Linked DNA regions of Lepisosteus oculatus. The protein of the gene in region 1 purifies or fractionates together with the protein of each later gene. This does not show direct contact. Links are inferred from orthologs where the notes say so. Each region holds a gene or a part of one and is shown in the gene's direction. Other genes may lie near its edges. The genes, in order: jazf1b and nr2c2.

Evidence for each region.
Region 2: the proteins of jazf1b (region 1) and nr2c2 purify together in Homo sapiens (affinity purification with mass spectrometry; 4 studies listed by BioGRID and IntAct, with this or other methods). This does not show direct contact. The link is inferred for Lepisosteus oculatus from reciprocal best matches to the Homo sapiens genes JAZF1 and NR2C2.

The regions. Positions count from the first base shown.
Region 1 is NC_090705.1:285,763-294,194, forward strand, and holds the start of jazf1b (juxtaposed with another zinc finger protein 1b), read left to right. Parts: upstream 1-4,778; 5' UTR 4,779-5,038; coding exon 5,039-5,153; intron 5,154-8,432. UniProt on the Homo sapiens protein: Acts as a transcriptional corepressor of orphan nuclear receptor NR2C2. Inhibits expression of the gluconeogenesis enzyme PCK2 through inhibition of NR2C2 activity.
Region 2 is NC_090699.1:55,375,624-55,383,670, forward strand, and holds the start of nr2c2 (nuclear receptor subfamily 2 group C member 2), read left to right. Parts: upstream 1-4,539; 5' UTR 4,540-4,742; intron 4,743-4,863; exon of another isoform or gene 4,864-5,876; intron 5,877-7,502; 5' UTR 7,503-7,527; coding exon 7,528-7,587; intron 7,588-8,047. UniProt on the Homo sapiens protein: Orphan nuclear receptor that can act as a repressor or activator of transcription.

The DNA.
Region 1 (8,432 bases):
TTTCTCCCTAGTGTATCTTCACAATTCCGGATCGCGTCGTCTGCATAGGGCCCGGAAAGAGCTGCTTCATGACAAAGACACCCAGGCAATATATTCAAACCAAAATCCTGCAGTGCCAACCAGCACACCACCATGCTGCCCAAGGAGGGCCCATATAAACCCTAAAGCTTTGCAATACCTCATGAAGGACACAAGATTCCCAGAAAGTCATTATTGTGTTGGTCTAGGACCCATGTCATACCTGTAAAATTCCAGCAGAATAAAAATCTAAATGGAAAATACAGGTGATGCAGTTTGCATTGTTAGGAATCGCGTTATATTGTGGCACAAGAACAAAGAATATAAGGAAGGGTACAAATGAGAGGAGCCATTTGACCCACCTGGCCCATTTGGTAGTTAGTAGTTAATTGATCCAAGGATCTCATCCAGATGTTTTTTTTAAAAGAATCCAGGGTATCAGCTTCAACAACATGTCTGGGTTGTCTGTTGCATTCTCCCATTACCCCTTTACCCCTTAGGTAAAAAAGTGCCTCTTCTTCTCAGTTTTAGAAACACTTCCATGTAATTTCCCCTTGTGCCTCCTGGTTCCTGTTTCCCTTTTAATTCTGAAGAAGTAAGCTGGCTTGACCTTGTCATTGCATTTGAGAGTTTCGAATATAATACTTGCATCAGCTCCTGTCGTAGTCTTCTCTGTTCAAACATCTTCCATTTTCCAAAATCAAATAATAAGCTATTATATTGTTTAATGCACAAAGAGGATAAAAGGCAAACAGATGAGTAAATCGTTCATTCAAAAATAATAACACAAGGAATTCTGGAGCCATAACAATGTCCCTTTTGATATGTTTGAGTGATGTAACAATACAAAAAACTTAAACTAATCACTGATTCTAGACTCTGAAGGAGCAGGTGAGGATAGCAGGGAAGAAACAAAAACGATGGTGTTATTGAGGAATGCATTTGTAAAGGAGCATAAATGTGGTGTGAAGCACTCTGTCTGTCCCTGCCAGCTGCAGATGTCTTAGGCACAAAAGCAGCAATGAAGGCCTTGTTGAATGCTGACATATGCATGAAGGTCAAGGCTTACAACTCTAAAAACTATTTTAAAGAATAACTCTAAAGTATTATTTTCCAGTAATGTTCTCTCTTACATTCTCTCTTTCTTGTTTGAAAGGCCCATTGACTCACACTCTCATGGACTGAAAAGCTTCCATCCAGTGCTGTTGACACAGCATATTGATGGGGACGCAGTCATGGCTGCCAGAGGCTTTTGTGCGACTCCGGTGCTTGCAGAGAAAGGATTTGTGATGAACATAACGTGTGGAGACATGCCTGCTTTACACAGCCTGCGCTTATGCCAGTGTACACAGGTATCCCAATTTTACTTTGCATTCAATCTATAAAACAATTCCCGATTGTAGTTTGGATGTGCATTTTCTCGCTTTATCAACCAGTCAATCAGCACAAAAATGCTTAAACTATTTTAAGTATTTTATTTCAACTATAAGATATTTATTTTTAGCAAGAGAGTAAAAAGTATGAGCTGTGGGTAGAGAGCAGAAAAAATGAGTCTACATACAGTAGGAAAACCTTCATGCTCTTACTGTGCTGAGGCTGGAGTCAGCACTTTTCCCAGTGCCTGAGTCTCTGCTAGAGTGATGTGCAGCAACATGCCTGGCTAGGGCTGGAAGGCTGTCAGTTCATTATCTCTTTATCTTTCACCAGTGACAGCTTTTCTTTTAAACAAGGAACAATTTTAAATAAACAAAGGCATTCCAGAAGCAGAATGACAATAGAGCAGAGAAAATCTGTGCAGTTCTTGAATTTAGGTTGTAGTTTCAAAAAACAATAGATGCAAGATAGGTAGCATACAGATAATAAGTGAAGTAGGCACTGACGTGCCAAGCCACGTAGAACCTTATAAGTGAGCACAAAGTCGACTTGAAACTTGATAGGAAGAAAGTGCAAGGACTCCAGGACAGAAGTACTGTGATCGCTTGCTTGTGACCTGGTCAGGACTCCGGCTGCTGAATACTGGACATGCCTAAGTTTGTTCAGTGTGGATTTCGATACCCCCGCAAGAAGGATGTTGTGGTAATACATTCTAGAGAAGACAAATGTGTTGACCAGCTTTTCAACAACAGTCAGAGTCAACATAGGATGTAGTCTGGCAATTTTTCTGAGATGGAAGAATGATGTTTTTACAGTGTTCTCCTCATGAGGGTCAAAAGTGATGCCAGGATCAAATATCACCTCTAAAGTATTTATTTTGATTGACATTCAAGCACAGTGCCGTCCACAGACAGCATTCCTGCATTGGTGTTATGTAGGTGATGAGAGATGCCATGCTGTGAAGCATGACCTTATCCTTGTTGCAGTTTAAATGAAGGACGTTTTGAGTCATCCAGGTTTTTATATCAGAGATACAATTAGAAAGTGCAGAAAAATCTATTTCAGGTTTCAGGTGTCAGGTTTAGTATGGACATAGATTTGAGTATCATTAGCATAGAAATGATCATTCAGATCAAGTAATTTTTCTGACAAAGTGGGAACATGTAGATGCTGAAAGGCAGGGAACCCAGTATCGAGCCCTGAGGAACACCAGATTCAATGAGGCCAAAACCCCAAAAGAAACAAAGTGTCGGTGACCAGTAAAATAAGAGTTGAACCATTTAAAATCAACGTGAGAAACGCCAAACTCATTCTCAAGATGGGACAGTGTCATTATCGATCCTACACTGAACTCACTTCTGAACTTGCCTTACTTCAAATGATATTAAATGAATAAGTGATTAATTACTACTTGCACTTTCGCAGCTGCTTTCAAGCAGACATATTAGTTTGGCAAAAATACAAACATTGTATTATTTACATTATACCCATATTTTATTGACAGAATACATCTTGTATCTGCCTGACACCCTTAGTTTTGCTTTATTACCACTTTCACCATTTCTCTTTTTTACTCAATTCACTGGAGAGTGAGGGGTGTCAGTGCCTGGTTATGTTCCACTCTGGGCCTTTGCAGTCTGGCTGACACAAGGGTTCCCCTGGTTTGAGCTGGTAAGGTACCTTTTCACCTGCTGTGTGGGGGCTCCAGTGGTGAGAGTGGATACTGTGGGGCTTCAGAGGCGAATCCTATCCCATGTGTAAAGTTAAAGTGATAAACACAGTGAATTGCTGTGTTAATGATCTTAACAGGAGCTCTCCTTCTCCTGCTCTGTGTACCGAGGAGCTAATAGAGTAGTGTGAAACAGGTTTGCTTAAATACCCCAGTGTCACTGGTCTTTGAAGGAGAGCCCCTGGATCACACAGGAGCACTGTGGACCAACTGGCAGAGAGGTCTGGGTATGAATTAATACGACATGAGCAGAAGCTTCTACTCTTCTGCACAGATCGCTGTTCAACATGTATGTTTCATGCATTTCTAAATATATGATTATGTTTTTTTTTAGCTTTTTCTAATTGCTTGGGCGTGTTTATTTTAACTACTGTAAAACAGACTTAAAAAAGTTTACTTACTTTGTTTTTTAATTTTTAATTTTAAATAAATGTAACATCATGATGACTCAGATGTTTGGTTATGATGCTTGCCTCCTTGAAATGAGTGCCTGATTCATGCATTTACAGTATCATGGCTTCAGTTCTTCAACTCTTTACTCTGTGGGCTCCCTAACTCTCTTATCAAACAAGTTGTAAAATTTTCAAAACTCTGCTGCAAGACTACTTACTCACACCAGACACTGGCAGCATATCACTCCTATAGTTACGTCTCTACAATGGTTGCCTATAAAGTCACATATTCAATATAAGATCTTGATACTGACTTTCAAGCCTCTAAACAATCTGGCTCCATCATACATGGCTGAACTCCTCTGTGTTTACACTCCGACCATAGGCTCTGGTAAGCTGGGGCCGGTCCTCTGCTCACAGTCCCCAGGTTTAAACCACGGACCCTGGGTGACCGAGCCCTCTCCGCCGCTGCTCCAGTGTTGTGGAATGAGCTTCCTCAGACTTTACGAGAGACAACTTTTTAAACTCTCTTTAAATCTAAACTTAAAATATGTTTCTACAAAGGTCTATTCTGACTGCCTACAGTCAATCTGTAAAAACCTGTATGCTCTGTTTCTCTTTCACTTAATTTTATTGTAATTTATTGTTCAAGTTTTTAACTTTATTGTTGATTATTTATTAAGTTAAAAATTATTATTCTTACTACTGGAGTACTTGGACATAATATATTGCATACGCCATGGACACATAGCAGCTCTATTCATATTGAGTTGTATTAAATTTCTATTACATTACTATCTATTATCATGTAACCTTATTTTTGTAACCTTAATTTTGTGATTTTTGTGATCTTTGTGAGCTCACAGAAAAGACATTTCATTGGCAGCAACTACTGCTGCACGCTGTACTGTTATGCATTTGATAAATAAACTTTGATTTGATATTATTATTATTATTATTATTATTATTATTATTAACACAATCCAGTGGTAGCTCGGGTTTAGCGGGTGTTACAGTCTTATACCAGGAAGGAAGGAGATACTGTATCGAGTATAGACGATGCATGTAGATATGTATTGTTTACACACGTGTTGGAAGTACTTTGTGACTATGATTTGAACAGATAACGTGTTTATAGAACCGGCGGCACTTGCAGTTGTAGACGTCCAAGAGCGGTGCGAGACGTTCCGCATTTTATTTCTTTCATACTGAATTTTGTTTCTGGCGAACACTTAGAAGCCGCTACGGGGTGAAACAGACCAGGATCTGGCAGTGCCGAGAGGAAGACGGCCCTTTAACTGAACAGAGCAGTGCCCGAGTGAGGAGGGGGGAGAGGGGGCAGTGTTGTGGGGGCGCTGCAACAGGTAAGCATGACGTCACCCGCAGCCCTGCTGCTGTGGTCCCTCCCCCGCCAGCCGCTGCCTCCTCTTCCCCGCCCGCCGCCGCTCCAGCTGCCGCCGCTGCCTGGCTGCCGGTGCCTGCCCCTTCCCCGCCGCCCGGGCTGAGCCGCACTCCATGTAACACCATGACAGGCATCGCCGCCGCCTCCTTCTTCTCCAACACCTGCAGGTTCGGGGGCTGCGGACTCCACTTCTCCACCCTGGCCGAGCTCATCGAGCACATCGAGGACAACCACATCGGTAAGCGGCGCCCAGGCGCGTTTCCGAGGCGCCTCAGCCGCCGCTGCTCTCGGGGCAATGGCAGCCATGCTCTTCCTGCGTCCTGTCAGCGCGGTTGCTAGGTGTGGTGGTGATGGGGGCACCGGGCTTCCCCACTTTTATATTTTCAAGCCGCCGCGTTCGAGTTTGGGGGGATTTCGCGTTTGCACTGTCGAGAAGAGCCCCGGGCGGGTGTCGGGCTGCCGGCGATGCAATGCATGTCGGCGCTTTGCAGGCGGAGACGTCCTGCGAGCCCGAGTGATTGTCATGTGCAGTGTTTACAGTTAGGCCCAGCTGCGGCGCCGGGCTCTCGCGGAGCGGGGTGCAGCTAGCAGGCGCAATGGCAGGGGCAGAAAGCGACACGACGCGCATAACGTGTTGTCCGTGTGCGCAAGGAAAGGCGTCAGGGAAAGACGTTTTACCGAGTGGAGCTACGCATTTCTGCAGCGCCCGTGCTCAGTTAACGCGGAACAGCTGGATTTGGGTTGCAAAGGCACTGCCCTGCGCAGAGTAACGGGAGTCGGTCTGCACGATTCCCCCGAGTTACAGCGGCTCTCGGGGTGAGCTAGATGCATTAATGCGAGTGCTTCACTGCTGTACGTCATCGTGCTTGGCTCGTTTTGTTACGTGGGTGTCGCCAGCTGTGCTTGCATGTGTTTTAACTATTGAGCCGATTCCGTTGTATACTCGCACCGGAAGCCGGTAGTCACGGACAGTGTTGCCGCAGCTTCTGAGTTCTCAGTTCAGGGGTTTGTGCTCTTGTGCTGAGCTTTGTCATCGCCCAGGACAGGTCCACATACCCGTGAGCCGCCGCCTGCAAGCAGGCCGAGATGCAGATGTCCTCCGCCTGTAGCCTGTATTCGTGTAGAGACCTTTCGCATTGCTCGAATATGACTGTTTCTTGAAAATATATGGATATATTTACATTTACAACATACGTTCGTGCGATACAATAAAAAATGACAATCTCATATATACGTGTTCGGAGATTGGTTAAGGTTATCATCGTTTGTACAGTTTGTGAATTTTAAGCCCTGTTTGGCATAGACTCTATCTAATATTAAAATATCAGGCTTTCATAGAAAGGTGAACTTACTTCGAAAGTAACCGAGGGTGCATGCTTCACATGTTTTTAGTGCGTACCGGCTAACGTGTGAGCCCGGTGCTTGAGAACTCTTACATGAGTGTTTTTAGATGCTGTTCCTCTCCTCAGCTCAACAGAGGTAGTGGGACTCCTGTGTCAACAGCCCTTTGAACACTTCTTACCGCGATGGTGGTCTTGTACTTAAGGTCAGGGTTGTCTTGTACTTAAGGTTGACAGCAGCAAATCGGAGGAGCAGACTTGTCACTCTGTGATTTAGTGCTTCTTGTTTGTCTTTTTATAAGCTTTTTCTAAGCTTTCAGTTATTATTTGCATGAAGGCGGGCGATGCATCAGACCGGACTTAATAATTGCTACTAAAAACAAGATTGTCTGTTAAAGGTCACTTTTCTGACTGCCGGCATTGATATATTTATATATTGGTTGATAAGAGAGAGTAAGATTTGTATTAGTGGAACATGCTTTTAACTGTCAGGAAGTAATTACGCTAGACATTGCCTGAGCAAGACGTGTGAAACACTGTTTTCTAGTTGTAATCAGTTTGTGGTATGTTCCACACCTTCAGTGTATTGTGAAGGAAGTGTAACACACAGTACCGTGTGGCCCTTGGTGTGTTTCTTCTGTCCCTTCTGTCTGAGCCTCCTGTTCTGTCCCCCGCTGGTCTGATAAAGAAGTCTGTATAGTACAGACCCAGACTTGCAAGCAGAGCCCTTTGTTATCCTGGAGTTTGTTGCTGGAAGTCCTTTTGTAAAAGGCTCAATTGAATGAAGACTTGTATGGTCTTACTGTGTGTAAATAACATTTATTTTGTCTCTTAGGCACTAGGCTGTACAGCGTGGGTGTCTGCTCATTGTTTCAGGTTGCAAAGCCTATACAAATACTTCACTTTAGCTTTTTGTTATGTTTTTGTCTGGTGTTGTAGACACCTGTTTATTTTGGCTTGTTATAGATGCTTTGCACTGCCTCAGAGCAGAATGGGGTTTTATGGGCACGCTTAAAAAGGTCTTCCCCAGAGGCAGAGTGCTCTTTTAACATAACCCTTCCTTAACCAGTGGTGCTGTGTATTTACAGGCCATGGCCGTTAAAGTGTCCCAGCTTTGCAGACTGTGTAAAAGATATCTTGTCATTCACAGTTGCAGCTCAGTATGCTCAACTGTTGAGACTTCTGATTAACAAGCCAAGACTACCCAAGATAAGAGAAAGTCTCTTCCCCCCTTTTGTCAACCATTCTATTTCAAGTAATCTCAATAAAATTAATGCTTTAAAATCAATGTGTATGTGATATGGGGAATATGAGTATTTTAAAGTGGTAAAAATAGGTCGGCATTCCTTTACTGACGACTTTGTGTTAGACCGAGTTTTAGATTGGACTAGTCTGTGCCTTTATTTGTGACATTGTGTGGTTGATGCACCCACAACTGTCAAAATTGTCTCCAGGTTTGTTAATGATAAAGTAACACAGATACTCAGATTATCACCGGTGAACAAAACTGAGCCTGTGGCTCAGGTCTGGTCTGTGCTTCACTAAACTGAGGAATTGGGACTTAAAAATCATGTTAGCTACCATATCTATTAAGGCAAGGTGTCTGCAGTCAGTTGAGAATATTGCAAATCTATTGACTCCTTACACACTGCACCACAGTGATTGTTGAAGTCTAGGGGGGCTACAGGGATAAACAGAACCTAAATATAGTAAATGTGTACACATACTGTATAGTTCACAGTGCCTATAGAAAGTCTACACACACTTTCCAAAGTAACACGTTTTGTGGTCTAACAGCCTGAAATCAACACACAATAAATCACATTGTAATACACAACGTCCAGGTGAAAAACAAATGTTCAAATATTCTGAAAAGAAATTACAAATGAAAACCTAGAGAAATGGGTTGGATAATTGCATAAGTGCACACACCCTTAGTAATAGCAATTGTAAATTAGCTCCGTTGTAACCAATTGCCTTCCAAATCATATGACAAGACAATTAGTTTCCACCTGTGATCAATTTAGTGATTCCTGTATTTGCTCTCTATTGGGTAGCACATCTCAAAGTAAAGAGTGTACTCTGGGCAAAAACAAGCTATGAGATGACCTCTGAGATAAAGCTTTGGAAAGGCACAGAGCAGATAATGGATATGAAAGGATTTCAAAGGCTTTTCC
Region 2 (8,047 bases), on another chromosome or scaffold:
CTGCATTCTTGTCCCACACCTGCAAACAAACATGCAAGACAATATATTAAACTAAAATAAAACTAAATCATTTATTGATAATTATTGCTTATTTAAACCCCTATTCCTGATAGTTAAGATGATATTTCTAACAGGTCATAGGTGGATTAAATGAATATTAGGCACAATCCAACCTCTGATGAAATTAGTTGTAGTTTTTTTGTCTTTTGCTGGTGTAACAAGAAGAGGTGTGAGTGCTACTATTTTGTTTAGTAAGAAAAAAATCCCCAAATTCCATATTATAATATCTTTTTTTTCCCCAAATCTCAACATCCTTCTTAAACCGTGTTTTCCACATATAAAGATGCATTATCCCAATGAGGGAAAGAAGCTCACACAACAGAGAAAGCATTTGGATAGTGTAATGAAAAGTACCCTTTTAAGCTTAATCTGTGGGCAAGACTCGATACACAGAGTTATAAAATACTTCTATATCTTTGCATGCCATGTAGTTTTGTGCCATGCACTTTGAAGACAACAGAGCTGATTCTTGATATATATGAAAAAAAAATGTAAAGGCTGATGTCTGTATCTAGTGTACATTCACTAACAGTAGGCTACACCTGCTGGAGGCGTTGGACAATAAAAAACATTTACCAGCCTGCCAATCAAGACAGTTTCATTTATTGGCACAAAAGAGCCGTCACATCCAACATAAATGCGACTCCATAAGACTGGTTGCCAAGGAGACTCACTGTGCAAAATTTGCCATGTATTACTTAGCAAGTGGAGAAAATGCCTTACAAATGTAAATTTAATTTGCTCACTCCGTGTGTTGCTGTCATTCAGTAAATCTACCTATTTTCAAAAAGAAGTGCAATAGCTGTTGCGCAGAAGTGATTTGATTTGGTTACCTTATAAGACCTCACTGCTACTTGCCTGCCTGATGCTGGAATGTATAGTATATTAGCTGAAGTGGGGAGTAAATAAGTCTGAGAAGTGAAGTGTTGCCCATTCATTGTTATCACATTTACTTGTTAACATGATATTAAAGCAATGGACTAATGTTTCTCTCTTGGAAAATGGCTAAAAGAAAGATGTAAGGTGATAAAGTGTTAATTCAGACTAAGGGTCATATTAAATCAAATGTATTCTATTCATCTTGGGTTTAGTTTGCTAGAGGCTTCTTCCTTTCATTTATTGGCAACCCTCAGTCCCACTATCTTGTACTAGGTTTAAGGCTTTTTTAAATATTGATTTCATCTGATTACAAGGGGTGTTACAAATTCACAAAAAGTGAAGCAGAACGCTGTACATTTTTTGTTCTTCTCATCATAATGCTGTCCTGTGCTTGTACAAAATTCCATACCCTCAAAAGCTTTTTTCAAAATGTGTGTTCTAAATAGAAAAGAGATAACTGACCTACCTTCCACAGTTGATTTTTTTATTAATAGAAACTTATTTTAGAAATAGCTAGGAAAAACCATCTTTAGCCACCTAAAAGCAAAGCTGTAGTACAGAAATATAGGAAGCCATTGAATTCTGTTGTTAACAGAAGAGTTTTCTCCAACTAATATATTCAATTCGCTCTGAAGGAATTCTGTTGGTGACTTTGTAATGCTATCATGATTCCTTTTGAAGACAAGTGCACCATTTAGCATAAGCAGATTTGAAGACTATATTAAGATTTATATTTTTATGATATAAACCAAGTGCCAAAACAGGTCAGGCATGTAAATCTCTGATCTCAGCCAGTATGGGAATGTTTATTTAAGAAATGATAAAGCACAGGATGTATGCTTGGAGAATACAGACAAATGCAGTTTTTCTGTATTTGTGATGTTGTCTCTTTAGTGTTATGTACTTAACTTTTAAAATGGCCTTGCATATATTGAGTTTTAAACTAAAAAAAATAATAATTTTGCTTTATTTGCATTGACAAAGACAGATATGAAAACAAGGAATGTAATTATTAATTTTGTGCAGATTTTCTGAACCCTTGTTTCAGTCAATGCTAATGTACTGAGATCTGGTAAAGAATCAATGAGTATTACAGAGAAACATGAAAATATTTTGTTGTAAAAATAATTAAATAATGGAGTTTTGTCTAAAATTGTCTGTGTGTGTGGGGGGGGGGGGGGGGTAGTAAAGTAAAAGAAAATAAAATAATGTATACTGTCTTTTTTTTTCAGAAAAACAACTCTCAGTTGTGAATAGCAGAATGATGCAATAGCACGTGAATGATTGATGTCCACCATTTTTTTCATGTCCAGATAAATCCTTGCAGATAAAAATGAGAGCCCAACATCTTTTTTGCTTAGGTCACTTTAGTGCAGTTGAAAAGGGGTATCCATTTCACTCCAACATAACATACATTAAAATCTTATCTAGATCTCATTTTGTATTTCCATAGTATACATTGTGATGGATGAATAGCTTCATCTACTCATCCACCCATCCATTATCATAAAGCCGCTTATTGCTGGTAAGTGTCATGGCAACCTGGAGCCTATCCCAGAAGCACAGAGTACTGGGCGGGACTACATCCTTGACGGGATGCCAGTCCATCAAAGGACACAGACTCCCAAGAACACAGGGACAATATTGAGACGCTAATTGGCCTACCCAGGATTTTACTGCAGCATTAATAGGAAAATACACTTAAATGGAACAGCAGAGGATTTTTCTATCAATGTTACACCTCCTTTCTTTATAATTTGGTGTCTGTGTAATGAAAAGGGCACATGTATTACTTGGACTCAAAATATACTGCGATGCACTTTCTGGCTTTTGAACAGAAATCACTAATTAAATGGTTGGTTGACTGAAGTACTACACTATTAAAGGCCGTTACTTTTTTTTTCTTGCAATCCTTATTATTATTATTATTATTATTATTATTGTTATTATTATTATTCTGTAACTAATGAATCTTTCTATGTCTCTTATCTGAGATATTCCTAGCATATTTCTCTGGTAGGATCCTACAATCCATTTTGCAATGAGGCAATTATGAAGGTACTGTATGAAACTGCTCTTTGTAACACACAGATCTTGCTTCATTAACACCCAGCTTCACAAGAGGAAAGAAAGAAACTGAAAACTAAGTTTTAATGCTCAGGGCTAAAAACAAGACATTTATTTCTGACTGAGAAAATAACACACTGATTCCTCACTTCCCAGGAACATAATTACTTTTTGTAAGTTATTAAATTAAACCTCCCAGTGATGTCTTCAATAGATGTTTTTGCTGTGCATTTACTTCCTCTGTATATTCACTTTCACACTTTTGTGCTAAGTAAAAAGAATCATCCTCCTTAACCATTTCCTCCCTGAAATTGATATGACCCACTCCTTGCTAAGGGCAGAGCTCATTATCTTTTGTCTGGGAGGGTCATCCCTGGACAAGCTGCAATACAGGTACAGTCGCAAACCTACCTCACATATGTTAAGCCCCGGGTTCGATTCTGTCCCTTTCTGTATGGCATTTGCACATTCTCCTCATGGCTGTGTGGATTTATTTCTGGTTTCCTCCCACAATTCAGAGATTTAGTGGCTAGGTTAACTGACATCTCTAAATTGTGCCCATCTGTGGCTGTTGCCTTCAATGGATTGGCACACTGTCTAGGGTGTATCCTGCCTTGAGCCCACATTTGATGGAGTAGGCTCTGGGTTACTGCAACCCACTATGTGACTGAGCAATTATTGAACATTTAATTGCTGTTCCATTTAATGTTCCCTCTAAACTTATTTTTAATTCAAGCTGTTACATGTTTCACTCCAAGTTAATGTTTGTATCACATTCTCTCCACTTTCAGTGACATTTTCTATCGGTGTAATGTACAGTATTTAGGAGTTAATCAAAAAGGGTTGCTAACATGCTCATGTGTGTGTTAACCTTTCCACTTTTCTAGCTACCACTAGCAAATTAAATTATTTTAATAGTGATGTTCATTTGTTGTGCATAGTTATTTTTGGGGGGCACCAGGGTAAGATCAAAATAGTTTACAATCACAAACAGCAAAAACTACTGAAATAATAAGACATCTTATTGAGATCTTAAAATCTCATTTAATTACATCGTGAAGTGTGACAATTTATTTTATAAAAATGATCTCTAAAAAAGAAATGTAAAATTCCTTCATGGTTAAGTGAGTTTTAATCTGACATGGTAAAAAAAAATACCACGAGGCTGTGGGATTTGGGGAATTCTTTGCCTTGGGATGCTTCTGCTTTTTCCCCCCGTTTTGTCATCAGTTCTGTCATGGAGAAGTACTGCGAAAAATAGATGTGTCCTCTATGCACATCACACAACCGCTTTTCCAGATCCTCCTTCTCGTTGTGGGCTCTCTCTTGACCTTGATATTTTTGCTAGTCAACGCCTGTTTTTTTTTTTACTCTCACTAGGTCCTTCTAGAACTCCCAAACGCAAAGACAATATCCACTGACTCTCGCGTCCTTCCACACACACATAGGAAAAAAAAAAACTTGCATCATAAAGAATGAAAAGAAAGACATAGACGAATAGGTCGCGGCCAATCAGAGGCGGCCCACCCGTGGCAGACAGGCTGACGTCAGCGCTGTCTGGCTCTCGCTGCTCGGTGAGCGAGGAAGGAGAAGAGCGCTGGAGGAGGAAGAAGAAAAAACTCCCGGCACGCTGGCGGAACGGGGTCACGAACTATGACCTTTCACAGAAGAAAAACAATAACAAATAATTTTTTAAAAACCTGAGAACTAAAAACAACGCTGTTTCCCCCCAGGAGGTAAGACTTCTCATCACTTTCATGCCCGTTTAATGGTATATTGAAACGCGTCGCGGCGAAAGGTGGTTAATTTCACTTTTAGTAGTCCCCCAGCTCCGGGAAGCTCTGCGCCAGGTCCGGTCGTTAAGGTTTTATAAACTGCTGTCCGGTCAGATTTTAGTTGAAACACTTAAATTGGAGATTTGGGAAGGAGTTCATGGGACAAACCCACGAAAACGCGTTTTAGTACGCGAAACGAAGGCAGGCGGGAGAGTCGGGCTGCGTTTGGTTTAAGACGCATCTGAACCCGACCCTTTTACCTTTGCCATCCCGGGGACAGGGGGGCTGGTTTGCAGAGGTTGTATGCATAAACAGAGGCGGACGCAAGCCACTGTCTGCCAGGCTTTTCTCACGAAAAACGACACGTAGGACCACGGGCGTCTTGTGATTTTTACACGCATTTTTAAAATGCACACTTCAATGGCTGCTCGGCGCGACTTGGCGTTGTGCCAGATTCTCCATTTTGTTCTTTTTTTTTTTTGTCTTTGCATGCGATTTAAACTCGGCAGGGACAGATTGTTGAAGCAGTCCATGCATCCCACCAATCGCATAACGCTTGTATGGTGGCTATGAAAGCTTAAAACACCAATGACAGAGGCCGTAATAACGCAGTGTAGGACCGAGTGTGGCTGTATTGACCCCTCCCAATTTTCGAAAATATGTATTTTGCTGCTCCCGTGCAGAAGAATTCGTTTTGACGAATAATTTATCAGATTCTATTGCATGTCACTTGTGCTGCAATTGAAACCGCATTTTGTTTTTCAGAAGAGAGACTCGAGCAGTTATTAAGTGAATCGGTGGAGTAATCTGACAGGGCAAAGTTGTACGCCAAGTTTGAATTATGATTCTGATCCCCGTTAGCGAAATCGTTAGGTTTGATGTGTACAGATAAAAAAAAAATGCTCTTGAATTAGAAACAACACAATTGTGTGTGATGAAGTAAAATCATCCCTCTTTTGGGAAACAAAAGAAATCGACCCGTTTGACTGCCGATGCTCTTTTCTATTACATGTACTATGTCCAGTCTGTTACAAATGAGTGTGCATTAAAGAGAACGAGAAAACAATTTACAGTAATTTATTGTCACGCATCTCGGTGAGTAGATGTATTTTTATTTTGATGAGCAAAAGAACTTGATGTTTAAGACCCACGAGAACCATTTGGCCTATTTCTTTTTCAGTTTCCCCCTAGAATAATGTATTAATGAAAGCTGTGGCATCTTACATATGTTGCCATCTTGATCAACTGTAAGGTGAGAGGCTGCTTGGTTTATTTGCAGCACTGAAGTGTGAAACTCTTGCCCTATGATATAATTCGTTTTGCACTTCGTTATATCAAGACTTTCTGTTTTCTTTGCAGTCTAACAGGATATAGCCCGTTATATATGTTTAAACACTTCATATATTTTCATTGTAAAATGTGTAATATCAAAGCAGAGCAGAGACTGGTTTATGGTTCTTTTGACCCTGCAGTCTATGATAAGTCATATAACACATCACTATACTATTGTTCACTGTAAATATATAGGTCTGTATCTGTGAATTAACATACACTCATCTGCTATTGATTTAGAGCTATACAGACAGTACAATCACACAGCTATAGTGAGGGAGCAAAAAAAACAGGACTGAATCCTATTTTTAAGATAAAAACTATGCAAAAGTATCATGAGCTTAACCAGAACAAGCTTGTGTCAAATTGTGGATATGGCATAATAAGCTGCCACACCTCCTGACAGATCTAATGCCTTTAGTGATACTAAAGATGTTTTATTCGTGAGAGGAGCTGATAATTAATTTTTTCCTCTGGTCTTTTTTTTTTAACCACTAATCAAGAAATCTGTCAGCCTTGCGTGAGGTCAGATCCGAATTTCATATGCAAATTACATTTTATTGACTGAACCCTCTATAAGAGGATTCTGTGAAGAAGACAGCCGTCAGAAGAGATGTTAATGAAATTAGCAGTGTGCAGAATAGTACAGATGGGGGAATACTATACGACGTTGTGAAAAGAAATCAGAGCTGACAAACGGAAGGACAAGGTCGATCCACAGGAATTACTGAAGTAGTGCGAGAAGTAATGGAAAATACTATAGACAACTAGTAGACAGTTGCAGAACTGGGTACAGACACTAAGCTTTGGCAGCAGAAGTACAAAGCTGGATAGAAGGCTGTGATGGAGGAATACCATACAGAAAGCAGCCAAATGAAAATGACTTTGCATAATCCAAGGCCTCATATGCATAATACATCATTGCATTCATTATTAAAATGCATTGCAATGATTTCTTGCTGTTGTGAATGCTAGTGACTATACAGTGAAATGAACAACGTTTTGTGGTCAAGCCATGAATTCAAATAACAGGTGGGGAGGGCACTGCCACTTAATCCTTGAGCTTTACCCACATGATTTCAACAAAACCACTCATCTGTATACATGGTACCAAAATTTGGTTAAAAACTGATACAAGAATCAGCCAAATTAATAATAAAAATAACTTTAAAGTTCTTCAGTGTAGCACAGTGGAGGAATCGATTAGAGAGTTTAAAGAAGGTCCGTAGACTTTAATTCCTGCATTTAGATCTTCCATCTAGGGTTTCTAAATACTGTGGTTAATTCTTACTTTTGACCAATGAAAGTGTTGTAGGATACTGTAAAGAAGAACCATACCAGCATAATTTTGCTTTGGCTGATAGAAGCTGCTGGCTTCTTTCCAAACAGGTTTCGCTAATGATCTTGCATCGCCATGGCAACCAATATGGAGGTGCTAGCTCAGCAGATAGTGGACACAGAGCAGGTGGCTGAGGTGAGTGACAGATGATACAGTACAAGTTGAAACACCTTGGGCTTCATTAGGATGGATATTCACAATGCATAGTGGTGCTGTGGCATTTTGTTTAGGTCTCCCATACATCTTATTAAAAACTGTCTACCAATACAACACCGCTGCCAAATCTGAATCATGTCTTGGTATGATCTATGTGGGCAGATGAGCTTACTACAGTTAAGCTAGATATTACGGCTCCTGCAAAGTTGTTTTGTGGAGTCACGCAAAGCACAACATTAACGCATCAGTTAATGTTTAGTTACCAGATTTCACAAGCAATACATATATTTTAAGCACATCACTTGAATTAGATACTGTTGCATTGTCTCTTCCATGTTGTCCAGGTTGTGAAATTTTAAATTTGCCCAGACGTCTAAGTCATATTGTGATGGTAGATTAGGAATGCGCTGATCTACATGCTGCATCAGGAGTGACAGTG